Macaca fascicularis: one gene and its partners. The protein of the gene in region 1 interacts with the protein of each later gene in a pairwise test. Links are inferred from orthologs where the notes say so. Each region holds a gene or a part of one and is shown on either strand. Other genes may lie near its edges.

The links.
Region 2: the proteins of AGTRAP (region 1) and BPIFA2 interact in binary tests that used the Homo sapiens proteins (3 or more experiments, as listed by UniProt). The two-hybrid records come from large-scale screens. The link is inferred for Macaca fascicularis from reciprocal best matches to the Homo sapiens genes AGTRAP and BPIFA2.
Region 3: the proteins of AGTRAP (region 1) and PDHX interact in binary tests that used the Homo sapiens proteins (3 or more experiments, as listed by UniProt). The two-hybrid records come from large-scale screens. The link is inferred for Macaca fascicularis from reciprocal best matches to the Homo sapiens genes AGTRAP and PDHX.
Region 4: the proteins of AGTRAP (region 1) and FATE1 interact in binary tests that used the Homo sapiens proteins (3 or more experiments, as listed by UniProt). The two-hybrid records come from large-scale screens. The link is inferred for Macaca fascicularis from reciprocal best matches to the Homo sapiens genes AGTRAP and FATE1.
Region 5: the proteins of AGTRAP (region 1) and SYT16 interact in binary tests that used the Homo sapiens proteins (3 or more experiments, as listed by UniProt). The link is inferred for Macaca fascicularis from reciprocal best matches to the Homo sapiens genes AGTRAP and SYT16.
Region 6: the proteins of AGTRAP (region 1) and NDRG4 interact in binary tests that used the Homo sapiens proteins (3 or more experiments, as listed by UniProt). The two-hybrid records come from large-scale screens. The link is inferred for Macaca fascicularis from reciprocal best matches to the Homo sapiens genes AGTRAP and NDRG4.
Region 7: the proteins of AGTRAP (region 1) and MCEE interact in binary tests that used the Homo sapiens proteins (3 or more experiments, as listed by UniProt). The two-hybrid records come from large-scale screens. The link is inferred for Macaca fascicularis from reciprocal best matches to the Homo sapiens genes AGTRAP and MCEE.

Annotation. Positions count from the first base shown.
Region 1 is NC_088375.1:223,059,655-223,063,032, reverse strand, and holds the end of AGTRAP (type-1 angiotensin II receptor-associated protein), read left to right. Parts: intron 1-533; coding exon 534-729; intron 730-2,185; coding exon 2,186-2,301; 3' UTR 2,302-2,878; downstream 2,879-3,378. UniProt on the Homo sapiens protein: Appears to be a negative regulator of type-1 angiotensin II receptor-mediated signaling by regulating receptor internalization as well as mechanism of receptor desensitization such as phosphorylation.
Region 2 is NC_088384.1:89,228,868-89,231,745, forward strand, and holds the end of BPIFA2 (BPI fold-containing family A member 2), read left to right. Parts: intron 1-572; coding exon 573-636; intron 637-1,491; coding exon 1,492-1,532; 3' UTR 1,533-1,569; intron 1,570-2,189; 3' UTR 2,190-2,378; downstream 2,379-2,878. UniProt on the Homo sapiens protein: Has strong antibacterial activity against P.aeruginosa.
Region 3 is NC_088388.1:30,655,220-30,659,434, reverse strand, and holds the start of PDHX (pyruvate dehydrogenase protein X component, mitochondrial), read left to right. Parts: upstream 1-1,415; 5' UTR 1,416-1,453; coding exon 1,454-1,613; intron 1,614-4,215. Other genes in the region: APIP (methylthioribulose-1-phosphate dehydratase), read right to left, coding at 1,038-1,050.
Region 4 is NC_088395.1:157,779,011-157,782,951, reverse strand, and holds the start of FATE1 (fetal and adult testis-expressed transcript protein), read right to left. Parts: upstream 2,801-3,941; 5' UTR 1,831-2,800; coding exon 1,725-1,830; intron 683-1,724; coding exon 555-682; intron 1-554. UniProt on the Homo sapiens protein: Involved in the regulation of endoplasmic reticulum (ER)-mitochondria coupling. Negatively regulates the ER-mitochondria distance and Ca(2+) transfer from ER to mitochondria possibly implicating it in the regulation of apoptosis.
Region 5 is NC_088381.1:129,916,454-129,919,953, reverse strand, and holds part of SYT16 (synaptotagmin-16), read right to left. Parts: intron 2,043-3,500; coding exon 1,602-2,042; intron 1-1,601. UniProt on the Homo sapiens protein: May be involved in the trafficking and exocytosis of secretory vesicles in non-neuronal tissues. Is Ca(2+)-independent.
Region 6 is NC_088394.1:54,611,532-54,615,031, forward strand, and holds part of NDRG4 (protein NDRG4), read left to right. Parts: intron 1-612; coding exon 613-669; intron 670-752; coding exon 753-804; intron 805-1,752; coding exon 1,753-1,800; intron 1,801-1,943; coding exon 1,944-1,979; intron 1,980-2,090; coding exon 2,091-2,142; intron 2,143-3,394; coding exon 3,395-3,433; intron 3,434-3,500. UniProt on the Homo sapiens protein: Contributes to the maintenance of intracerebral BDNF levels within the normal range, which is necessary for the preservation of spatial learning and the resistance to neuronal cell death caused by ischemic stress.
Region 7 is NC_088387.1:50,824,864-50,828,363, forward strand, and holds part of MCEE (methylmalonyl-CoA epimerase, mitochondrial), read left to right. Parts: intron 1-2,580; coding exon 2,581-2,918; intron 2,919-3,500. UniProt on the Homo sapiens protein: Methylmalonyl-CoA epimerase involved in propionyl-CoA metabolism.

The DNA of each region.
Region 1 (3,378 bases):
AGGGGAGGGGCTGTGGCTGGGAGACCCGGCCAAGGGGGCACTCCACACTTTAGGAAGTAGAGGTGACCCTGCCCCACCAAAACCTCCCACAGGGGGAGCTTCTCAGCACCCACCCAGCCCCGTGGGGCAGTGAGCGCTCCCCGCACGGGCTCTTCAAGCCGAGGCCAGGGCCTCAGGATGACTGAAAAAGGATTTTCTTTGTGTTGGAGACAGACTGGGTGAACTCCAAGGAACCTTACTCTGTGGCGGTTCTAGAACCAAGTCTTGTGCCCGTCATGGCCTTGGAGGTGATGGGAAATGGGTGGGGAGGGAGGCTCTGGTGGAACCGAGACCTGGACCCCCGGCGTCCCTGCCCCCAGACTGCAGTCCCAGCCAGCGGCTCCCCAACGGGGTCCTGCCTGCTTGCTTGATCTGTTTTCCAGCAAAACTCAAGGACATAGTAGGGCACGAAACAGCTTCCCATCTGGTATATGGTGGGGGAGCCACGGGGCGCGGCGGGGGTGCTGTGCTCATCAGTGTGGTGTGTCTTGCAGTTTCTGGGTGGCTTGCTGGCCACCATCTTCCTGGACATCGTGCACATCAGCATCTTCTACCCACGGGCCAGCCTCACGGACACAGGCCGCTTTGGCGCGGGCATGGCCATCCTCAGCTTGCTGCTCAAGCCGCTCTCGTGCTGCTTCGTCTACCACATGTACCGGGAGCGCGGGGGTGAGCTCCTGGTCCACACTGGTGAGGCCACTACCTCCAGCCAGCTCCCCACTCTTGTCTCTCCCTTGCCTGGCCCCCAGCCTCTCCCTCAGTAAGCCCGCCTTGCCCCATGGGGCCAGGGCTCAAGGTGCAGGGAGAGCGTGGCATGGGCGCTCTGTACCAGGCTGGACAGGTCCAAGCTCCTAGTGTCTGCTGCAGGAGCCCAGGGGTCCTCTGGCTGTCCTGGTCTGCCGCGACCTTCTCCTGCTGTGAAGCTGAGGCTGGGCCCTTCTCTCAGCCCAGAGCACAGGCACAGCTTGGGGTATCATTTAGTTCCCAGGGGCAGCCCTGGGCTGTCTCCATCCTGAGGGCCACAGGCACCTACAGGTCTCCTTTCTGTTCCCACGGGGGCCCATCACTGGAACCCCATTTCCTGCCATGTGGGGTCTTCCCTCTCTTGAGGCAGAGACTGTGCTAGGTGGCCAAGGGAGAGCCCGCACCAGTGTAGGCTGTGGGAGCCTCAACGAGGACAGCCCTGAACAGGGAGTACTTTCCCTGCCCACTGGCCCCTCCCCACTCGCCCAGCCTTACACCTGCCCTCTCCCACGCCCTCTCTGAACTCCTGAACCCCTTCTCCTGGTGGCCGAGCCATTTGCCTGCTCTCTGACACCTCTCTCTCTCCCATTTTCTCTTTGAGAGGAGTGGAGGGAGGTGGTGGGGTGTGGCCTTCTGCCTTTCACTCCTGAGAAGAGATGCCCTAGGTGGCCTATGACTGCCACCAGCTGGTCGAGGGTAGGAATGGCCTGGGGCTGCCCACAGTGGCTGACCTCAGCACTGCCTGGGCCTGCCTCCGGTGAGGGGCGCCAGAATATTTCTCCCATTAGACAGATGAGGAAACTGAGGCCCATATCCCTTAGGACTTGTTCAGGATCTCAGGATGAATGTACAGAGTAGGGGATGGGAGTGAGGCATTGGGGTACTCGGAGCCCTACAGCCCTGCCTTGGACCCAGCCCCAGTCTCTGAGGCCATCTGGATATGGTAATGTGGTGTCCTTGTACCTGGGAGGGGAGCTGGAGAGGACTGCATGGGCCCGGGGCTGGCATCCCTCTGCCCAGGTTCCTGAGCACTCACTGCCTGGGGAAGCCCATGGCACAGGGGCTAGGAGCCTGGCTTTGGATCGGCTGCCTAGGCGTGGATCCCAGCATCATCAGCTTCGAGCTATGTGATCTTGGGCGAGTCAGTTCATCTCTTTGACCCACAGTTTCCCCATCTGTAAAGTGGGGACAATAAAAATACCCGCTGCATAGGGATACGGCAGGATTGAATGAATAATACATGCTAAAGGTTGAGTGCCTGGGGCTGCTGCCTCTGTCTCTGTGCATGATGTCAGGATGCCCAGCCCAAGGGTGGCGGGGGTGGGTCTTGGGTTGGACTTAGCCAAACATTCCGAGTTCTCACCCTTCATTTTTCTTTCCCGCCATGTCCCCTGCCACCCAGGTTTCCTTGGACCTTCTCAGGACCGTGGTGCCTACCAGACGATTGACTCAGCAGAGGCACCCGCAGATCCCTTTGCAGTCCCAGAGGGCAGGGGTCAAGATGCCCGAGGGTACTGAAGCCAGCCACACTGTGCCCGGCCCCGCCCCGGGCCTTCCTTGTGCCTGGGAGGTCGTTCTAGGGATGCTCCTGGCCTCCATCTCTTGGACCTAAGATGGACTGTGTCCCCAGCTCAGGGATTGCCTGAACCAAGTGCCCTGAGAGGCCAGGAGCCCCCATGGGCCACCCAGTGCCTTGCACACTCCTGTCCCAAACTCCCTGAGGCCTCCCCTCCCTTCAGGGCACCCACTGGTTCCCAGGCTGGAACCATGGTCTCTCTTCACCTCCTACCGCACCACAGAGGCCCCCAGCTGAGTCCCGCCTGAGTGTGGCAGGCTCAGGCCTTTAAGGACCACTGATGCCCCCTGAGGCCTCCCCTGAGTTTGTCAGGCTTCAGTGGAAGCCCTGAGAGCTTCAGGTCCTGCTCAGCTCCAGGAGCCGTCTGGCATGGGAGTGAGGCCCCGTGCTTCTCACTGCCTGGTCACGTGGTGGCTAGGGATGCAGGGCTGGAGGTCAGAGGCGTCAGCAACACTGTGACCCATCACAGCCTCCAGCCTCCCTTTTCGGAGCCACAGCATTAAAGTTTGGGGAATTCTATAGATGGGCTGTGTTTTGAGCCACTTTCAGTCTCCTGGCTGGGCTGGGGCCTGGCCTTGTTCCTGGGAAGATTTCTCCTGCCAATTCCCAGGTGGAGCCTGCACTAGGCTGCCCCAATCTGTCATGGCGGGAGGAAACGGACATGCGTGTTGGCTGAGCTGGGCTTGTGCCTGACTCTGGCCTAGCAGAGGCCTAGAGAGAGCAACTGGTGGGTGTGGCGTGTGGGCATCCGTTTCTCTGAACCAGATGACGCAGGCACTGTTTTGAATCCTGCTCCGCCACTTACTAGCTGCATGCCTTCAGTGTCTTCTAGAAAGGGTTGGTGCCCGCTCCAGGTGTAAGGTGCCTGGCGTGAGGAGGGCTCCCTCAGTGATGGTGAAGTTGTTAGCAGTGGACTTGTTCCTCGGGCCAGTGACAATGCTAGGTTAGGAGGCAGGGGCGACCTCTTCCTGGTGGCCCCTGTGTCTGGTCACCACTGACTTGGGCTGACACATCCAGAA
Region 2 (2,878 bases), on another chromosome or scaffold:
CCTGTCTCTACTAAAAACACAAAGATCAGTCATGCATGTTTAGGTACCAGCTTAGGGGATGTTTGTACTTCGCTCATTCGGTACCAGGGCCCAGCTAGGTTCCTGGTGCAGAGTTGGTGCTCTGTGAATATGGGTTGAATGAATGAACGAATAAGGTCTCTGTGCTGAGAATCTCATGAGGCCCTGGGGTGAGCCGCTGGTCAGATGTGGGATTCTAAGTGATGATCCATGTGGCTCTGTCTGTAGTTAGAAAGCAGTTCATGTTCCTGGGGTTTACAGGCACATGTCCCAGTCTCTTGGGAGACTGAGGCAGGAGAATCACTTGAATCTGGGAGGCGGAGGTTGCGGTGAGCAGAGATTGTACCACTGCATTCCAGCCTGGGCAAGACAGTGAGACCCTGCCTCAAAAAAAAAACCAATAAAACAAAATGAAATCCTAAAGTTCAAAGGTTCTAAGATCCCTAGAAATGAGCTCCTCTGTGGGTGGCAAGCAGTTTGTTTCTAGCCCAGGAGAACGGTCTGTTCTTCCTCCTTCTCCTGACCGTCCTCTTCCTCCTCTCTCTGGCTGTCAGATATGCCCACTGATCCGCATCTTCCTCCACTCCCTGGATGTGCAATTCATTCAGCAGATCATCGGTAAGTCAATGGGGAAGTGGGGACCTTCTGAGGCAGGCCTGGAGTTCTGTGCCCACCGCATAAGCAGTTCTGGTCAGGAGACCCTGGAGAAGCAGAAGAACCCACTGTCCTAAGCAAATTAGGAGCTGTGGCTTCCCTCCACAGGCACTTGGGGACTCTCTTTAGCTTTTGGGTCTACAGGCATGGCTGAGGTTGCTGGGGAGAAATGGAGTAAGTAAAGGTGTCAAGACCCTGGAGGTGACCCTTCTATGAAAATAGCCACAAGTCAGCCAGGAACGGTGGCTCACACCTGTAATCCCAGCACTTTGGGAGGCTGAGGTGGGCAGATCACTTGAGTTCAGGAGTTTGAGACCAGCCTGGGTGACACGGTGAAATCCCATCTCTACAAAAAAAATACAAAAATTAGCCAGGTGTGTGGCATGCACCTGTAGTCCCAGCTACTCAGGAGGCTGAGGTGGGAGGATTGCTTGAGCCTGGGAGGCGAACATTGCAGTGAGCCGACATCATGCCACTGCACTCCAGTCTGGGCGACAGAGTGAGATCCTGATCTCAAAAAAAAAATTTTTTTTAAAAAAAAGAAGAAGAAAGGAAATAGCTGCAAGTCCAGTCCCTTAGGCAGTCACTTCGTGCTCTGTACTCACTATCTCACTGGATCCTTGCAACAACCCTGTGGGGTGGGTACAGTCATTGTATCCACTCTACAAATGAACAAACTGAAGCTCAGAGAGGTGTAGTGACATCCCTGGGGTCCCACAGCTGTCAGGTGACCTTCAGGAGAGCGGCATCTTTTGGAGTCTGGTCTCTATTCAATTTTCCAGAGGCAGAGACTAAAACCTGCTATTGATTTTGTTTCAGATAATCTTCAGCATGAAACCCAGCTGCAAACCCACATCTGAAGAGGATGAATGACGAGGACCACTGTGATGCCTGCTGGTGAGGAGCCAGGCTCTAAGCCCCAATGCACAGGGCCTATGGTGAAGAAAAGCCAAGCATGGCTTCCCTTCTTTTTGTGTTAGAAGACTGTGCCTTCATCTCAGTCATAGACTGAGCACTGGCCCCTGTCCCAGGCTAGGGCCTGATTCTGGTCACACTCTGAATACTGAGCCTTAATCACTGAACTATGATTCTGGCCCTAGACTGAGCCTGGATCCTAGTCACAGACCGAGCTTTGATGCCAGTTATTGACTGAGCCTTAGTCTTGGTCACAGACTGAGCCCCAACCTTGGTCTCAAATGGATCCATGATTCTGATCACATATTGGGCCCTGAACCTGGCTCCAGTGGTGGCCTGCAATCAATCTTTCCACATCTGCCATTGTTCTGAAGGAGGGTGAGGGGAATGTAGATGAGTCAGTGCTAGGTGCCAATGAAAGACCCCAAACCACAGGTCCCAGTTTCTTCTTCCCAGGACTTAAACCACATGGGGTATTGTGGGAAAGAGCTGGGACACTGGAGCCAGGTCAACTTGGGTCCCATCAAGTGCCCAGTGGATGACAGCTGGGTATAAGGGCGGCCTAGCTGCAAATGTCCTAACCCCCTGTGGTCTCATTCCAGATTGGTTCCCAGTGGCTTGCGCCACCCCCTTATAGCATCTCCTTCTGGGAAGCTGCTGCCACCACCTAACCAGCGTGAAAGCCTAAGTCCCACCAGAAGGACCTTCCCAGATGCCCCTCCTGCTCACAGTCAGAACAGCAGTTTCTACACATACTCTCCTGTCCCTGGCAATAAAGGCTCATTTCTGCACCCTTCTGTGTGGCTCATTGTGTTCCCTCCATTTGGGATTTGTTGGTGGGAATTGGGGAGGGAGGTTGGGGACTGCAACTAGGGTGGGAGAGACCTGGATCCAGAGCTAGAAGGCTCAGTGAGAATATCCAGCCCCATCTCCTGGTTCTATAAAGGGGGCCACGGAGACACAGAGAGGCAACAAACCAGCCCAAGTCTCACAGCCAGTCTGTGGCGATGGCAGACCTCTGATCTATCCATTCACGCATTCAACAGGTATGTAGTGAGCACCTACTCTGTGCCAGACAGGCAGTGGGAACTGGAAAGTCACATTCTGGGAGCAGTCCCACCCAGCGCTTTCCTCCATTCCTCTCCAGGGGCCCTGAGGATTCTCGGAGAATCAGGGGACACCCCGCCTGACTGGAGCCAGGAGTATAAGGCAGAGTGATGCAGGCTCAGAGGCCTGTGGCCCCATCTCCACCTGCCCTGTTGGCCCCGCTGCCCTCTAGGGGCCCCACTGG
Region 3 (4,215 bases), on another chromosome or scaffold:
TTACTGATTGAGGGCATGAACACTTCTCCATACACACCTGCCTAGGAACGATCTCCAATTATCTGTCCTATCTCCAAGATCTTCTCTCTCCCATCCAACCTTGCCTATCCACCATTCTATTTTCAGAGTAGTCTTCGCTAATTTGGGGAAGTCACTTATTCAAACAAGACAGCGGTTGACAAATACTTAGCAATGAAATCTCCTGCTAGTTACTACTTTTTAATTAGGATTTTCAACCCTAAGAAAGATATACATGGGAGGAATAAGATAGGGGGAATAAGGGAGCTAATTTTGAGGGGTTTCCCTGCCTCTTAGGTGGGGTTTATCATATTGTGCTGAAACTGCTTATTCGTCTAGTTCTCCAGACCCTGGGCCATTTGTCTTATGTACCGCCATCTCTGAGCGCGGAGAAGGTGCTCCATAAAACTGTTGGTTTGTGTAAATGACCGAAAACTACATGCAGAGTGAGGGTGGATTTCCCTTTGACTTCGGCTTAAGGAAGAATCGTTCCCATGATCATCCCACAATTCATCTAAAGGGAGATAGGCAAGGAGCAACTGTTCAAAGGCAAAGCGCTGGCAGCCGAGGCACAGCTCCGGTTCGGCAAATGTCTCCCGAGTGCCAAAAGTCTCCCCAAACGCCTAACTGGTCAGGGCGCAGAAAAGAAGCTCGGGGAGCGCGGTCTTCGCCCCAGCTCCACTTCGGAGCTTCACGATTCCTTCTCTGGCCTGTCTTCCTGATAAATACCCGCTGAGGTCACCCAAACGCTATTCTCTCTGCGTTATTTGCTTCTTTCCAATGTTTGGCGCCCAGCTCCCGTCGTCGGAGCGCCCCGCCCGGGACCACTGATCGCCTGGGGCCGCAGCCTTGCTTCCCAACGCGAAGGCCGCGGTGCTCCAGGGTCGCAAACTGCCCGGCCCGAAGCCCCGCCCCGCAGCCAAACGCCCGGCCCGCGACCCCGCGCCCAGCTCCCGCCGCCAGGTTCCGTCTGGGCCTCTACTCCTGGGAATAACCGGTACCGGTGACCCCGCCCCTACCTGCGCGCCGCATCTCCGGGAACAACAGTCTCCCTCCCGAGCGTCACAGCCAGACATGGCCTAGACCAGGGACCCACGCGGCCTCCAATCTCCGCACCACTTTACTCGCGGCGCTCAGCCTAGGTTGAGGCAGCAAGGCCGCAAATGCAATCAGGCGGCGCTGAGGGCAGCCCGGGGGCGGGGCGAACAGGGTGGGCGGGGTCTGGTAAGGCCCCTCCGGCTGGGCTATCCAGCAGCGCACCTGACTGCCCGGGAGGCGTGGCCAACGTGGTTGGAGGCGGGACTAGGAGGGCTTCAAGTCTGAGAGACCTAAAGGCACCTCGATCGTCTGGGGGTGTGGCCAACCATGTGGGAGGCGGGGCCTTGATGCTGGACATCAGGCTGTGCTGCGGGCAGCCGGTGAGAAGGCCGTGAAGATGGCGGCCTCCTGGAGGCTAGGCTGTGATCCGCGGCTACTGCGTTATCTTGTGGGCTTCCCTGGCTGCCGAAGCATAGGACTGGTGAAGGGGGCTCTTGGGTGGTCTGTAAGCCGCGGAGCTAATTGGAGATGGTTTCACAGCACGCAGTGGCTTCGGGGTGAGTGGCCGGGGCTCGCTCAGCTTCTCTGTGTAGCTGAGTGATGGGCCTGGGACAGGGGCAGTCTTGATTGAGGACCTGCGTCTGGGTGTTGAGGTGCGCGGCCTCCCTATTCCTTTCCCTCTTTCTCTGGGTGGGGTCCGCCGACTCGGCCTAATGCATGCTGTGGAGGGCTTTCTTGGCAGCTGGGAGAATTAGACCCTACCCTAGGCCTCCTGGTTTGTATGACTTTGTGACTTTGCCTTGGAATTTGGGTTATTTGTGAGGCGCGGAGAGGGTTCCTAAACTCTCCTCCCTCAGCCCCCTTTCCAGTCAAGGCTCAGGTTTCTTTAGGGTTGTCAAACGTCTCGGACGAGAAAAAGCTGCCCAAGGTTGCCGAGATTGAAAAGCCACTGTTGGGAGTTCTTACTCATTCTCTAGGCCTCTCTGTTGGGAGGTGTTTTCATTGAGGCCAGTCGAGTTTTACCCCACGCCATGACTCGTGGAAGACTTAAATTTGTAAATTCCTACGGCATCACAGACAAAGGTCCAGGAGAATGTTTCAAGCAAATATTCGCTTGAAAGAGCGAACATTTAGGAGATAAATCATACCAAAAAGTTTATTATAGAAAATTGTCGTTTAGTAATGATATTGATACGGTTAACACAATTCTTGCAGTATTTAACAGTATGCAAAATGGCAGGCTGGGTATTATTTTTCCTTATTTGGGGAGAGGGTTGGAGGGAAGCAGGGATGGAGAATAGGACTGACGTTTTTTAATCTGACGTATTGCCTGCCAGTCATCGTTCCTGGCACTCTACAGAATGAATTTTAATTTAAATAGGTCTAATAGACATTGCCTTCGTATTCTGAGCTACCTGAGGCCCAGGAAAAAAAAAAATCACACAAAGCCATATAGTAAGATGAGTGTATTGGGGTTCCTAAAGATTCCGTAATGGGAACAATTTATTTCAGTTTTTTTGGTGTAATGTTTCATAACATATTCCTTGGAGCAGAGGTGCTTTAACAGTGTGTGCAGAATTCCCTCTCTTCCCTCCTTCAAGTTTGTTGAAATTAAATTTTTTTACAGCTCCTAGAGATTTGGTCTGATCTAGTGTGGGGCTCAGGAATCTGCATTTTACAAATGTTGGATGCGTTCTGATGTTTTATTTTGACATTTAATGGAATGTGCTTTGAGACTCACTGCCTTAGAAAATCATGGAATATTAAAAGTTTAGTATTAGATATAATCTGGGAAGAGTGTTCTTAATCTTGTCTATCAAGCAGATCCTTTTGAGAATCTTTGAAAATGCTGCAGACTCTCTATACAGAGAAGGTACCATAAATGGTTACACACAAAAATGTGCACGTGGTGGCTCATGACTGTAATCCCAGCACTTTGGGAGGCGAGACTGGAAGATTGCTTGAGCCCAGGAGTTGGTGACCAGCCCGGGCAACAAAGTGAGACCCCTGCCTCTACTTGAAAAAAAAAATTAGCCAGGCGTGCTGGCATCCCAGCTACTCCAGGGGCTGAGGCAAGAGGATCCCTTGAACCCGGGAGTTAGATGTTTCAGTGAGCTATGATCCTACCATTGCACTTCAGCCTGGGTGACAGAGTGAGACCCTGTCTCAGAAAAAAAAAAAAAAAAAGTATACATAGGCCCAGTTTAATGCCTTTAGGAACTCACTTAGGCAAGCAATCCTTACCTGCATCCTCATGATGTTTTTTACCTATTGCCCATCCCCTAGACATATACCATGAACAACTTGTCTAACCCAGTTTGAATACCATCTGTCAGGAAGAAGGCACTGCATCTCACAGAAAGCCAAATTAGTTTTCTAGTGCTGCTGCAACAAATTACCACCAATTAGTGGCTTAAAACAACACAAATTCACGTCTCATAGTTCTGGAGGTCTGAAGTCCAAAATGGATCTTCTAGGCTAAAATCAAGCTATTGGTAGGAGCTGCATTCTTTTCTGGAGGCTCGAGACCCCATTCCCTTACGTTTTCCAGATTCTAGAGATTTCTAAGATTCTTTGATTCATGGGCTTCGAAGTCAGCAATGGCTGGTTCAGTCTTTATCACATTACATCACTTTTAATACTCCCCCCCTGCCTTCTGCTACTTACAAGGACCCTTGTGATTACATTGGGCTCATCTGGATGATCCAGAATATTTTCCCCATCTCAAGGTTGAGTAGAAACCTAATTCCATCTTTAACCTTAATTCCCTCTTGCCATGTAACAGCATATTCATAGCTTCTGGGTATTAGGACGTGAACCTTTTGAGGCATGACATTCTGCATGTGAAGCTGTGGAAAGTATTTGGAAATACTAAGTATTTAGAAACTTTGGACTTTTTTTCTAATACCGAGCCAAAATTTATCCGCTTCTGACTTTCACCTACATACAGATTTTTGTTTTGCCATGCCGAAAACACGTGGCAATCCTTGGACTATTTGTTTTACAAAGTGCGAATTTACGATGGTATTTTTTCTCTGAGCTTGGTAGAAACTGTAGTTTCATAAAACTAAGCAACTGTTTGGATTACTGTAAACTGTGTACATTAAGTACGTTTATTGAACTGTTTCCTCTTTCACACAAATATCCAGGATTTAAAAA
Region 4 (3,941 bases), on another chromosome or scaffold:
CTGAGTAGCTGTGATTACAGGCATGTGCCACCATGCCCAGCTAATTTTTGTATTTTTAGTAGAGACAAGGTTTCACCATGCTGGCCAGACTGTTCTCCAACTCCTGGCCTCAAGTGATCCGTCCACCTCTTCCTGCCAGAGTGCTCAGATTACAGGCATGAGCCACCATGCCAGACGACTTGACTGGATTTCTTAACAGCCAGAAAGCGTAGGAGCCTCACCTGAGTTATTGTGTGTATACACACACACGCACCACACACACAATTTTAAATACAGGAAGCGTTATTTCACACAATGGATTTACAGAGTGAAATATTTATGTACTCCCCATGCAATATTTGTTTCAGGCATTCTGAACTCCCAAGGTTGCATCCCAAGCATAGGAAAGGATGACCCTGACCTTTCTGTCCTCATTTGCCAGCTTGGAATACAGGAGCTTCCTCCTCCTCACAAGTCAATGTCTAGCCCTGCCTGACCTGGTCAGGCTACAGCCCCTACAACCAGTACTCCCAACCCCAACCTGGCCAACATGTGCTGAGGACCCCATGCAGTACCATTTTCTTGGATCGGGTGGCAGTCATATTCCAAACTCGTTTCGCTGAAGCAGAGCCAGCAGCTTTTTGTTCCAACTTCTGCCTCTTCTGGGAGGCACCCAGGGACCGAGATCCATGCTCCATCATTTCTAGAGAGAAGAACAGAGACCCCAGGAGCACCCATAGAAGTTGTACCAGGGCTTCTTGGGCACAAAACACACCAAAAAGAAGACAGAGTCCCCAGCTTTCTTGGGAATCACTCAGCACCCATTAACCACTGTCCACCAGCTGATCCCAGGTCTCAGTTTGTTCATCTGTTCAAAAGTTAAACAAGAATCCTGAGGGCTCAGCTCGAGACTAGGTTACTCTCCAGTAATCTAGAGAGCAATGACCAAGAACAAGATTCCAGCTATCAAGGAACTGACCATCTGTTTTGTGTATAAGAGTGAATGACAGGTGTAAAACAGAAGGTCTATCCTTGCAAATGCAGACAGAGAGATGCAGGCTCCATAAATGATCAAAACAGGGTAACATAGTGGAAGGAAAGGGCTCCTTCTAGAAAAGTAGGAGACAACAATTGAGGCAGGGACCTGAAAAAAATAAAGGACCCAGCCCTGGGAAATTGAGGGAAAGAGCATTCCAGACAGAGGAAACAGCAAATGCAAGGTCTTTGGGGAAGAAGCAGGCTTGGAGCATTGTAAGAACAAACATAAATGCAATGTGATCTGGATCCCTTTGTGTGCTATAGAAATGGTATTTTCTGTCTATATCATAGTATGAAATGTTTTGAGGAGGCTGATACAATCTTATAGATCATGGAGTCTGGATTTTCCTCCAAATGGCAGGAAAATGAATTCGAGGGTTGGGAGAGAGAATTGATCTCTGGTCTCATAATTTGAGCCCTCTGAGTATTTTGCAACAGACACTGTGGTGGCTTGGACAAGGGGAAGACAGAGGGACCACACATGTTGTTCCCATCCTCCTCCCTCCCAGGGCAAAATGCTCACATCATCTATCCCTTTTCTCCTAGATCCCTTACCATCAACCCACAAATCCTCAAAGCCCGCCCAACACACAGATGTGCAAACACTTCCATGCACACATGCACCTTTCCCAACACACACATGCACAGGTACAGACATGTATCTACACAGTTGGCTGTAGCCTAGGGGTATTTTAGGGGATCCTCACCCGCTATCACCAGGTGCTCTTGGTTTTGCCCTTGGCGTCCATGATTCAATTCTTCTGTCAGGGACATTTCCATCTCTGCCTTGGTGTTGGGAGGGCCTCCTGCCATCACAACCAGCTGTTCACTTGTAAGCTATGGCTAAGGATGTACAGGGTGCCAGGAACAGAGGAGTCACACTCAGAAAATCACCTCTTCCTGGAACAGGAGCTCAAGGAAGATATAGTCAGACCTGGGGGTGGAGCAAGACTCCCTCTCTAGGCTGAGGCCTTGGACTCAGCACTTTCTGTTTCTATTGTATCTTGTTGGCTAGGTCCGTGGCCTTCTCCTTGCTACTCTGTAAGCAACTTAGGAGAAGAGATACAATTCCATGCCTTTGACTGTGAGAACTGCTCTGGCTCATGAATCTCCATATTTAGCCCATGGGGGGAAGGGTAGGGTCTACCCTCCATCATTTCTATGAAGAAACAGGGATTGGCACAGGGTCCAAGAGCCAGGCAGTGGCTACAGCAGAGTTAGGTCCTAGCAATCCAGGCCATACCACACCTTCAGAAGAGATTCTCTGGAGAGCATATCCTACCTCCCCCATCCAGAGTCCCCAGACATGGGAGGTAGCCTTTTTCTGAAGTAGGTCAGACTAGGCAGGAGCCATGAGAACAAAGGGAGAGAAGGGTAAGAGAGGTGGGACCTGACTGCAGCCACTAGAACTCCCAGGGGCCTCAGGCCTTGCACCTTCTAAGTCCCAATTCTCCCTCAGTTTCCCTACTGATTAGACCACTGTGATGGTCAGGTTTATGTGTCACCTGGCCAGGTTCTAGTCCCCAGTGACTCCTTCAAACACTAGTCTAGGTGTTGCTGTGGAGGCATTTTGTAGCTGTGGTTGGCATCTACAACCAGTGGACTTGAAGTAAAGTAGAGACACATCCTCGATGATGTGGGTTGGTCTCACACAATCAACTGAGAGGCCTGAAGAGCAAAGACTGAGGTTTCCCAAAGTAGAGGTAATTCTACCCCAGGACTGCAGTGTCAACTCTTCTTTGAGTTGCCAGCCTGCCAGGCTGCCCTGCACATTTCAGACTTGTCAGCCCCACAATTGCATAAGTCAATTTATTAAAATAAATGTATATATACTTGTGCATATGCAGATATATACATATATACATACATACATATATACATCCTATCAGTTATGTTTCTCTGGAAAACACTGATTGCTACACGACCTGTGGTGAACCCTTCATTCTAGGAAACAACCCCAGAGCCCCTGGGGGAATAGGAGGCTATTTGTGAAAGGAATCAGGACAGGTTTATAAAACGTTCCTTTTAGAAATAGCCTCTTCTTCCCCCAGAGCCCTTGGGTCAGGTGGGATAAAGAGGAGGAAGGAAGGAGGAAAAGAGGAAGGGAGGAAGGAAGGAAGGAAGGAAGGAAGGAAGGAAGGAAGGAAGGAAGGAAGGAAGGAAAAGAGGAAGGGAGGAAGGAAGGAAGGAAAGAAGGAAGGAGGAAAAGAGGAAGGAAGGAAGGAAGGAAGGAAGGAAGGAAGGAAGGAAGGAAGGAAGGAAGGAAGGAAGGAAGGAGAGGGAGTGCAAAGGAAGGGGTCAGAACTAGCTGAGATAGGGCAGCATGGTCTGAGGCTGCCTGTCCCCTGCCCCCACCTCACCTGTCCAGCGCTGGGGCCGAGCTCTTGGGAAGCAGAGCTGATATAGGCCCTGCCTGCATTCCTGGGGGCCCCAAAGAAGCCCTTCCCAGATCTAGTGGAGCAGCTGCGATGAAATTTGAGCTTTCTGGAGGGCCACCTTGGGAGCAGAGAAACTACTGAGTGTGCTCAGCTTAGTGGGATTCAGGAGCCTGGGAAGCCCAGCCAAGGTTGCCAGATTGAGCAAATGAAAATACAGATACGAAGTACATTTAAATTTCAGATAAACAACACATCTGTACTTATACTACATTTGTAGTGTAAGTATTCTCTCTTGTACACTAACCTTTGGGACATATTTACACTAAAAAAAGGATTCATGGGTTGATCTAACATTGAAATTTAGCTGCATATCCTGTATTCTATCTGACAATCTTATCTCACTATGACCTCAAGATTTTACCTCGAGCAAGTTTCTCCCTTCTTTTGGTGTCAGTCTCCACCATGGACAAGCCTCCCTACAGGGTGGCTGGATTGTGAGGAGCACTCAGAAGTCAGCAAAGCTACAGTAGTGTAGGCACTGGCTTG
Region 5 (3,500 bases), on another chromosome or scaffold:
CTATGCTCAACAAAATGAAAGATTTTCACCTGCAAAGTTCTTTTACACTAGCTCATTTTCCCCATTCAACTCTGTGCCCCCAGCACACAGCATAGGGCCTAGCAAGCAGAAATATGGGTGTGATCATCCCCATTCCCCAGCTCTATCATGCAGGATCCCTCCTGATCTCCTGTGCATTCTGTTCTCCATCACTTCAGATGTGCTTTACGCAGATATTAAGAAAAAAGGGAGATCTGAGCAGAGATGAGACATCATCTGGCTTATACTTTAAAAGGCTCATTCTGGCTCCCACGTCCAGAAGAGTCTGTAGAGGCAAAAGCAGAAGTGGAAAGACCACCACTGAGCAGCTATTTCAGTAATCCAGCAGAGAGCCAGGTTCTGGTTGTACTTGAAGATAGAGCCCATAGGATTTCAGGTGGAAAACAGAAAAGTCACAGATGATTTCTGAGATTTTTGAACCCAGCAATTGGAAGAATGAAACTGCCTTTAAGTAACATGGGGAAGACTGCAGGTGGAATAGATTTAGGGAGGCAAAAATCAGGATTTCAAGCCTGAAGATGTTAATTTTGAGACATCATTGGACATTTAAGTAGATGAACCTGCCACCACTACAGTCCAGCCTTTCTGTCTCCTTTGTTCTTCTTCAGATATGACAAGTTTCCTCCCTCCCCCGGCCACCCCACATCCTGACTGCTTGCTTATGCTGTTCTCTCTGTCTGGAACTCTCATCCTCCTCACGTCACCAGCCTCTCTCTCTCGATGCTGTGAGTTCTGGTGTTTCATCACCACCTCGGAGAAACTTTCTCTGATCCTCTAAACAAGAGCAGCCTATCACTCTCTCTCCTTGCCTACTTGGCCACCACTAGACTGCAAGCTCTCCAAGTGCAGAGGCATCGCCTGCTTAGTTCTTTCCTGCATCCACTTTGCCTGTACCATAATTGACAGTAAACATCTCTGAATGAATGACTGATTGACCCCAAAGCCTAGAGAGCTCCCTGATCTGTTAACATGGTTTTGTAAAAGGAGATGGGCATACCACATGACATATAACCCACAGCAGTAGTGAGCTGCCCATCCTGTAGACATGTAAATTATGACACCCTTCCTTGAAACTCTGGGGCAAGCAGGGAAATGGGGTATGAGGGAAGACTGTACTAATACAAATGAAAGGTTTTGGAGGCAGCTGAAGTTCTGGGCTGCTATCTCAGTCTGCCCCAGCATACCAGTGAAGAACCTTGTCCAGAAAGTCCCATCTCTGAGATTCATCATGATGCAGATTGGGGGTAGGAGGAGTAGGATCAGTTATCCACAAACCAGAAGGCCAAGCCACCTTCCCTGTTTTTCTCCATGCCCTCTACCACACTGCTACTATCTTGTCCTAAAATGGACAGGGCATTTATCCATCAGGTTATCAGGAAGACAGGCATGAAAGACCCATTGTACCATGAAGTGCAAATCATGGCTTACAAGGGTGAGGAGAGCCAAATGGAAAATTAAATTCAAGTCTTTGAATTCACAGACTGAATGTATTAAATCAAGGGCTAACAATCCCAGGTCTTCAAACACACCACGTCATTACCAGCACCATTGAACATACTCACACTTATATTACTTCTTGGCTCCAGAACCAGAGTCACTTTCATTTCCCCTTCTGGGTGCAGGTGGCTGAGATAGAATAGTTTCTCTCCCATCATTCTCTCTCGGGTCATCTTCCGGGCAGCGTACAGGCGGAAGCGGACAGCACAGGCAGCCACGTCTCTGGGCTCCAGCTTGGCGAAGGTGACCTTCTCCTTGAAGACGGGGTTGGGCCCTCTCTGTATGTTCGTCCTGCCCCTCTGTTTCTTACCAGGCAGCAGCACTACATGAACTTGCCAGGAGTTGACACCACTTCGGTCCTTATCTGGGAGGCCCTGTGCCCTCACAATGGTCACTGTGAGCTTCTGGCTGGAGGCTCTATATTCAAAGATGACATCTAGGTCACCACACTTTGAGATGGGCTCTGAGACTCCGGATGGCACCTGCAAATTGGTCCTGTCCTGTTCCTGTTGCAGGCAGAGGAAACAATTAGAAACGGAAATGATGAGACCCAATTACATTTTGGCCAGTTGGTGCTCCTTTGTGCTCCTTTAGAATCCCTCCTTTCTAACTGCCAGTGTATTCCCTCTATATCAGACAGGTCTATTTACTGGTCTGTCGCTGCATTAAACTGTGAATTCTTTGACGGCACAGTGCCTAGCATATGGCGCGCCTTCGTGAATGTTTTTGGAATGGATAACTAAAGCTTTTATATTTTGCAAAGTGTTTTCATATACACTGCCTCTCAAAAAGCACAATTGCCCAGGATCATTGAAACCAACTGAGATGCTAAATCTAAAATTAAGTCAACAGGCAATTGTCCATAGGAGACTTTTCCTTGTGTCCCTAAATACAGATGGTTGAGACTGAGCCTGTTCTCCACAGGCAAGAGTTTTCCACAGACAAGAATTTTGATGGGAGTCCCAGGAAGGTGATGCTTCAGTATATTTTCAATCTACGTGAGAGAAAAGGTTTAGGGCTGAGCTTCTCAAACTTTAATGTAGACCTAAATCATCTGAGGATTCTGACTCAGTAGGTCTGGAGTGGAGCTTGAGATTCTGCCATTTCTGGGACGTGTGCAAGGGATGTTGATGCTACTAGCCTCACCTCACACTTTGAGCAGCAAGGGTTTAGGAGGACACCTCCACAGCCCTTTAGTAAACAGCAACACTGAGCCTGGAGCCAGAATATCTAAATTGAAATCATAACTCTAGCACTGACTATCTTTTTTACCCTGGCCAAATAGACCAGCCTCTCTGTATTCAAGCTTAAAAACGCACATTAATGTGCCTGCTTGCTGGTGTGTTGTTGTGAGGTTTTCATTGATGTGAAAATACCTGGCTCAGGCCAGACTGCATCAATATCTATTCCCACCACTGAACTGGTGCTACCTATTCTCAAATACACATCTCTCTTTATGGAATGTCACCCTTGGACAGCAATTTACTTGCAGCCACTCAGATCTGATGACCTTACTGGGAAAACTGAGCTGAACTGCATTTATTATAATGAACCACCCCACTAACAAATTATAAATAATGTCAAAAATAATTCTGTTTTCCTCTGAAGGCATGATCCTTACCTGTAACTCAACTTTGAACTGATTCTTATTGCAAACCAGTTCTTATTTATGCAATTGAACACCAGACCTTGCTAATTTAAAGATCTCGTTTCAAATTATAATAAAATGCCTCAAAATATGCATCCATCAGTGAAACTTTCCCACATAGTCTGAGTGAAAGTTCATGGTTCTCTGGGTTCATATTTCCCTAGGAAGCCCAGGCCTACTATTTACTAGCTATATGACACTGGGCAAGTTACTTAATCCTTTCCATGTTCTATTTTCCTCAACTGTAAAATGAAGATGGTGCCTTCTGTGTAGGGATGTTGTAAAAGGTAGAGGACTTGACAGATAGTAGACATCT
Region 6 (3,500 bases), on another chromosome or scaffold:
AGAGGGGAACAGGTCTTCAGACTCCAGGCCTTGGGTTCTTCCACTTTTCCTCCTCCCCTGGGGGCTTCCTGCGTGGGAGTGTTGGGGGTGTTGGTGACATCCCTGACTGCAGTAACCCAGCCTTGATATTGACGTCTGCAAAATGGGGACGAGGTCGGATGAGCCTGTGGTTTGCAAGCTATGCTCCTTGGAGCCCCCTTTAGGGGCTGCCCTGCCCTGCAGGGAGGTGGCCAGGCCCCCTCACTCACCTGCCCTCCTTCTCATTCTTCTACAAATAGTAAGCACCTGCTGTGTGCATGGTGCTAGGAAAACAATAGAGAATAAAGAGACCCAGGGCCTGCCATCCCATATGGTCCAGGAGACAGACCAGTAGCAGAACCTCCCACAGCACAGGTGGCGGTACCCCTGGCTCTGAGGGGGATAGCAAAATTTGAGAGCCCACCTGGTATGTGCTGGGGAGTCCAAAAAGCCGTGCATAGGGGGCCTCCAGTTCATTTATGCAGAGCAGGTCCATGCCTCCCTGCTTTACCAGTTGGCAGTGTTGGGCTTGGGATGCCCCTCATCCTGTCCTGGGGTGCCCACCTCTGCCCCTCCCCTTCCCCTCCCCCACAGCCGCAGAGACCTGGACATTAACCGGCCTGGAACAGTGCTCAATGCCAAGACGCTCCGGTGAGTGCCTCCTGGCCCTCTGGCCTGCCCCAGCCTTTGCCCCCGTGACCCAGCCAGACAGCCCTTTTCCTCTGTATCTGCAGCTGCCCCGTGATGCTGGTGGTCGGGGATAATGCACCTGCTGAGGACGGGGTGGTGAGTGAGGGGCTGTGGGCTCACTGGGGGTGTGAGGTAGGGGTGAGGGGCTCATGGCCTCTGTCCAGCAGGGGCAATTCTTGACCCAGCCCAGGGGAGCCTCCAGGGCTGGCAGTGGATGGTGGGCTTCTCGTCCACTTCCCCAGTCTTGCCAAGCCTCACATCTGGCATAGCCCCCATCCTTCTGGCGGGGGAGGCCTGGAAATGGGGAGGGCTGGGGCCAGGGCCGGGCCATCAGAAGGTCCCCTCTTCCCTCCCCAGCAGCACAGCCCCAACTTGGTCCCTACCCACCTCAGGCCCAGGGCCTACGATCTCTCTTTTTTCTGAAATGTGATTGAGTCATTATAAATCATTAATGCATACAGCAGCACAGTCTCCCTTTCCCCATCACCTGCACCTGTTACGTTTGGGGACCACGTGTCACCCCTCCTGCTGGAACTCTGGGAGCAGGTGGCCTGGGGCTGTGAGGCCCCATCAGCACAGAGCTGCTGGGAAGCTGCAGGGTCCGGAAGTGCCCGAGCAGCCCCGTGCGCCGTGGAAATACCAGGCTTTCCCATGCCCACCGGGAGGTCCTGGAAGAGTGCGGTGGTGGGCTGTGCCAGCCCTCTGCACCCGGTCTCTTTCAGACCCTCGGCACCCCTCACCTCACTGCTGAGGGCCCCAGGACTTCTTCCCAGGCCAGTCCCACCACGGCAGCCCAGCCTTTGCCTGACTCCCACTCCTAGCAGTTGTGAGTGGGCTCCAAGGGTCCCAGGACCTTCAGGGGCGCTGCTAAACTGGTCTCCAAGAACGTGGGGAGCCCTGGGAGAAGCAGCCTGTCACAGGTGCTGGGTCTCCCTCTGCCTCCCTGCACCCCCTCTCCTCCCCAGCTTGGGGCATCAAACCTGCCTTAGCCACAGGGGTGGGGAGGGGCCGGGGCTGTTGCTGAAGCTGGCTCCTTGTCCCCAGGTGGAGTGCAACTCCAAACTGGACCCGACCATCACGACCTTCCTGAAGGTGAGGCTTTCTTCCCCAGCCCTAGGCCAGCTTCCCTAGCATGGGCCCAACCTCAGGGAGGGGCTTGCCTGGGGTCCCAGCCAGGTGGGAGCTTGTCCTGGAGTGAGGGCCCTGCTCAAGTCACCCCACTCTCTCCCTTGCAGATGGCAGACTCCGGAGGGCTGCCCCAGGTCACACAGGTGAGACTTTTGGCCCTCCTGCCCTTCCATCTATGGGGTGGGGGAAGCCTCTACCCTCCCTGCTAATCCTAGGCAGCCAATGAAAGCATGTGCTTGTCCTGCCCTCCGCAGCCAGGGAAGCTGACTGAAGCCTTCAAATACTTCCTGCAAGGCATGGGCTACAGTGAGTACATTTCCACCCCACCACACCTAGAGACCAGTGGGCAGTCAGTGCTGGGGTGGGGGGTCCTGTTTGCAGGGCTGGCACGTGGTGTCAGGGGGTACTGGGGAGCCCACAGGCATAGTTTTGTGTGACCTGGGCCCCGGATGCTGGGCCCCACAGATGCCACCTGAGTTGCAAGTTGCACATCCCAGGCTGTGCCCAGCTCCCCTTTGCCCTTAGGGAGGACTTGGCACACTGTTCTGATGGCAGTGATGGGCATACTGGGGGAAGGGACCCTTCTCTCTGTGCTGAGGGTCCAGGTCCAAGGGCCACGTCCTGCCAGGGAAGCCTGTCTGGGGGTGAGGCACACTCCCCTCATCTGCCCCAGGGCTTGGGGTCAGAGTTGGGCCTACGGCACCTGAGAAGGCCTTTTGAAACAACTGGTGGCTGCACCCAGGGCGTCATAGGAGTGGGCTTGGAGCCTGGGGCCAGGGAAGGCAATTGGGGCGGCCTGGGCATTCAGAGAGCTGAAAGCAGCTGAACCTGAGTTGGCAGATCTGAAAATCTGGGTCTGGGGTAGAACCAGGTACACATACACAGACACACACACCCCTTGGGTGTCTCCTCAACTTCCCCTTCCCTCTAAGACATACCTGTTTCCAGCTCCCCACTACCAGGTGGCAAACTTCCTCTTCTCAGTTTGTTTTTTATTGCCCTCCAGACTTTAGCCTCTGGAGCTGGTATCTCCAGGGCAAACAGGGGGCGGCCTGTGGGAAGGCTGGGGAGGACACCCAGGAATACAGTGCTCTCTGGAGCAGGGCAGAGCCCTAGGGCCCGCAGGGGGGCTCTGCAGGAGCGCAGAGGCTGGGATCAGGGCACAGCAAGCATTTGTGAGGTGAATGGAGGAAGCTTGTCAGGCGCTGAGATGCGTTCTCAGGGTCCTGGGGAGAAACTCCACCAGGCAGCCCCGAGCTGGGAGAGGCACAGAGGGGCAGGCCTCCCCAGTTCTGTACGCAGGAGACTGAGGCCCAGCAGAATGGTGAGGGGATAAGCACCCCACCGGCTGTCAGGGCTTCCTTGGGTCAGAGATCCTTCTGGGGACCACTGCTGGGTGGGCTTCCAGAGCCTCTGACCCTGCCCCCAGCCTCTCTGTGCCTGTCCTTTGTCCCATCTCTCCGGCTCATCTCAATGCTCTGGCCTCAGTGGACCACGCTGTTCACTGTGTTGTGTCTCCCCCACCCCGCCCCCTGTCTGGCTCTGTCTTCTCTCTTAGTTGCGTACTTGAAGGACCGAAGGCTGAGTGGAGGAGCAGGTAGCCCCACAGCCCTTCCCCTGATGCATGGACACCTAGCCTCCCCCTCCCCCGCTCCTGCTGCAGC
Region 7 (3,500 bases), on another chromosome or scaffold:
AATCTGTATTCATCTTTACACGCATTTTTTATTAACACTTCTATTTTTAAATATCTTACGCATTTATTTGCATGTGGTTTTACATTGTAGTATATTCATGCAAAGCAACCTTTATTGGAAAAATCACAAATTAAACATTACAGAATTCAAAATAATGCAGTTCTGCTGCACTATTCTGAAATGGGAGGCAGAGAAACCTAAAACTAAAGAGCTGTGAATTCCTACGAATTAGAGGGCAACCTGAAATAAAAATAGCTTTAAAAAGTTAGCTTCAGTGTTGGTAATCATTTTCATAATTTATGCATATGTTAAAACATCACATTGTATACCTTAAAGATACACCATTTCTATTAGTCATGGGACCTCAAGCTGGAAAAAAGTTGCTACAATTACTTGTAGCAAGAGAAAATATAATAAGAATTCAATTCACAACAAATTTTCAGGAGCACATTTTTATTAAATATAAAGCTCTATCTCATTTTAACCTCTTTATTCATTGTTCTCTACCCAGTTTCCTTGGTCTACACAATTTCACCTTTGGATTTTTATTGTTGGGCCATTTTTTTTTTTTTTAGGTAAAATTTATATAACAAAACCCTTTAAAAATGTACAGTTTAGGCCGGGCGCAGTGGCTCATGCCTGTAATCCCAGGACTTTGGGAGGCCAAGGTGGGTGGATCACGAGGTCAGAAGTTTGAGACCGCCTGACCAAGATGGGGAAACCCCATCTCTACTAAAAATACAAAAATTAGCCGGGTGTTGTGGCACGCACCTGTAATCCCAGTTACTCAGGAGGCTGAGGCAGGAGAATCGCTTGAACCCGGGAGGTGGAGGTTGTCGTGAACTGAGATCACACCAATGCACTCTAGCCTGGGCGAGACAGCAAGACTTCGTCTCAAAAAAAGAAAAAACAGTACAGTTTAACAGCAATTATTACATTCACTGGGTTTGTGCAACTGTCACGTTTATCTATTTCAAAACGTTTTCACTGGCCTAGTGTGGTGGCTCACATCTGTAGTCCCAGCACTTTGGGAGGCCAAGGTGGGAGGATCGCTTGAGCCCAGGAGTTCAAGACCAGCCTGGGCAACATGGTGAAACCCCATCTCTACAAAACATACAAAAATTAGCCAGGCATGGTAGCTCTTGCCTATGGTTCCAGCTACTCAGGAGGCTGAGGTGGAAGGTATTCTTTTTTTGCAATTTAGTTTCAATTGTACATTTATGTATATGTGTACTGGGTTGTAATCCACTTGGATTTCATGGTAACAATGAAACTTACTAAGTTTCTAACTTGTAGGTTTGTTGTGAATATTAGACAGTTGGTGTAAAAAAATAAATGCAGTGCCAGACAGTAGGTGCACAGTAAATTCAGGCCATTCTTGTTGTTAATGACATACAATGACTCTTTGCTGAATGAATGGAATGCAGAGTTGTCTGTGGAAATCAAGAAACTATCTGATGAGGACACAGTGATAGTGAATTTTTAAAATGCTAAAAACTGGCCGGAATGGTGGCTCACGCCTATAATCCCAGCACTTTGGGAGACCAAGGTGGGTGGATCACCCGAGGTCAGGAATTTGAGACCAGCCTGACCAACATGGTGAAACCCGTCTCTACTAAAAATACAAAAATTAGGGTGGGCACAGTGGCTCACACCTCTAATCATGTCACTCTGGGAGGCCGAGGCAGGTGGATCACCTGAGGTCAGGAGTTCAAGACCAGCCTCGCCAACATGGCGAAACCCCATCTCTACTGAAAATACAAAATTAGCTGGGCATGTGGTAGGCGCCTGTAATTCCAGCTACTCAGGAGGCTGAGGCAGGAGAATCTCTTGAACCCAGGAGGCAGAGGTTGCAGTGAGCCCAGATCACGCCACTTCACTCCAGCCTGGGCAAAAGAGCAAGACTCCATCTCAAAAAAATATATAACACACACACACACACACACACACACACACACACAGACATTAGCTGGGTATTGTGGCGGGCACCTGTAATCCCAGCTTCTTGGGAGGCTGAGGCCGGCAAATCACTTGAACCCAGGAGGTGGAGGTTGCAGTGAGCTGAGATCACACTGTTGCACTCCAGCACTTCAGGCTGGGCAACAGAGCATTAAAGAGTACTGTATGTATTCTTTTAATGTATGTTTATACCTTTAATGGACTTGTTACAAAATATAAGACAAAAAATTGGGTACAGGTAGAGAAATTGCTCGTTCTTATTAAATATGTTGTTTCATTGTGAAATGCAGAGAGAGAATAGCAAATAATTCTTAATATGCCACTATTCTTTAAGTGTTACCGGTAAATATGAATCATTATGAAAAAATGTTATTCTGTGTTTTAAATCTAACTACAGCTCAGAATTAGCTTTTTTATTCCAGTCAGTTATTTGAATGGGCAGAGCAGAGTAATTCTGGTGTAAGTTTTTCCATTTATCTCCTGGTTTCATTTCAATAATTGAAAAGAATAGATATATAAATAACGAATTTTTGCATGTGTTATTTGTTTAGTTTTTTAAATTCAATTTAGAAGTGTATTAATTCTCAAAAGAACGATATCAATGGCTGTTCAATTTTTTAGGGCTTTTTTCCAGACTCCAAGCTCCCATTCCAACATTAAGAGCTTCTTCCACATCACAGCCCTTGGATCAAGTGGCAGGTTCTTTGTGGAACCTGGGTCGACTCAATCATGTAGCCATAGCAGTGCCAGATTTGGAAAAGGCTGCAGCATTTTATAAGAATATTCTCGGGGCCCAGGTAAGTGAAGCGGTCCCTCTTCCTGAACATGGAGTATCTGTTGTTTTTGTCAACCTGGGAAATACCAAGATGGAACTGCTTCATCCATTGGGACGTGACAGTCCAATTGCAGGTTTTCTGCAGAAAAACAAGGCTGGAGGAATGCATCACATCTGCATCGAGGTATTTTAATTATTTTAATGCCTGGTATTTTAAATCTGTCTTTTAAAATATGTCTTTTACTTTTTAAGACTAATTATGGTCACTGTCATTAGAAACTTTTGTAAGGTTCTTTATGGAGAATGATAATATTCATCCTCCTCAAAGATGGATCCTTACATACCTTTCTTTTCCCTTTAGAAAATTCTAACATATAATATTAATGTATTTTTTTGAAGTCTGGATTCAGTGACCACTGTAAGTGCCACCAAAGTTAGCCACAATATAGAATCTGCTTTAGAACTGATCATGTGTGACCTCCCATGTAACAGGAATACAGCTGTTTTCACTATCACAAGGCACTTAGGAGAAGCAAATGAAAAGACTTTATAAAGTAAAGCTTTCAATGTACATGCTAAGTATTCTTTATAACTCTTTTCTCTCCTTAAAATTCTAATAACTTCATTATTACAAAGTCAATACTTTTCAATTACTGACTGATTTTTAAGATCTTCTGAATTGCATCTGCCAACAATTTTTAAAGGAATGTGAAGAAATGTTAGACAAGAAAAGTCTCATTAGAGAACATTTCTATAGATGTTCATG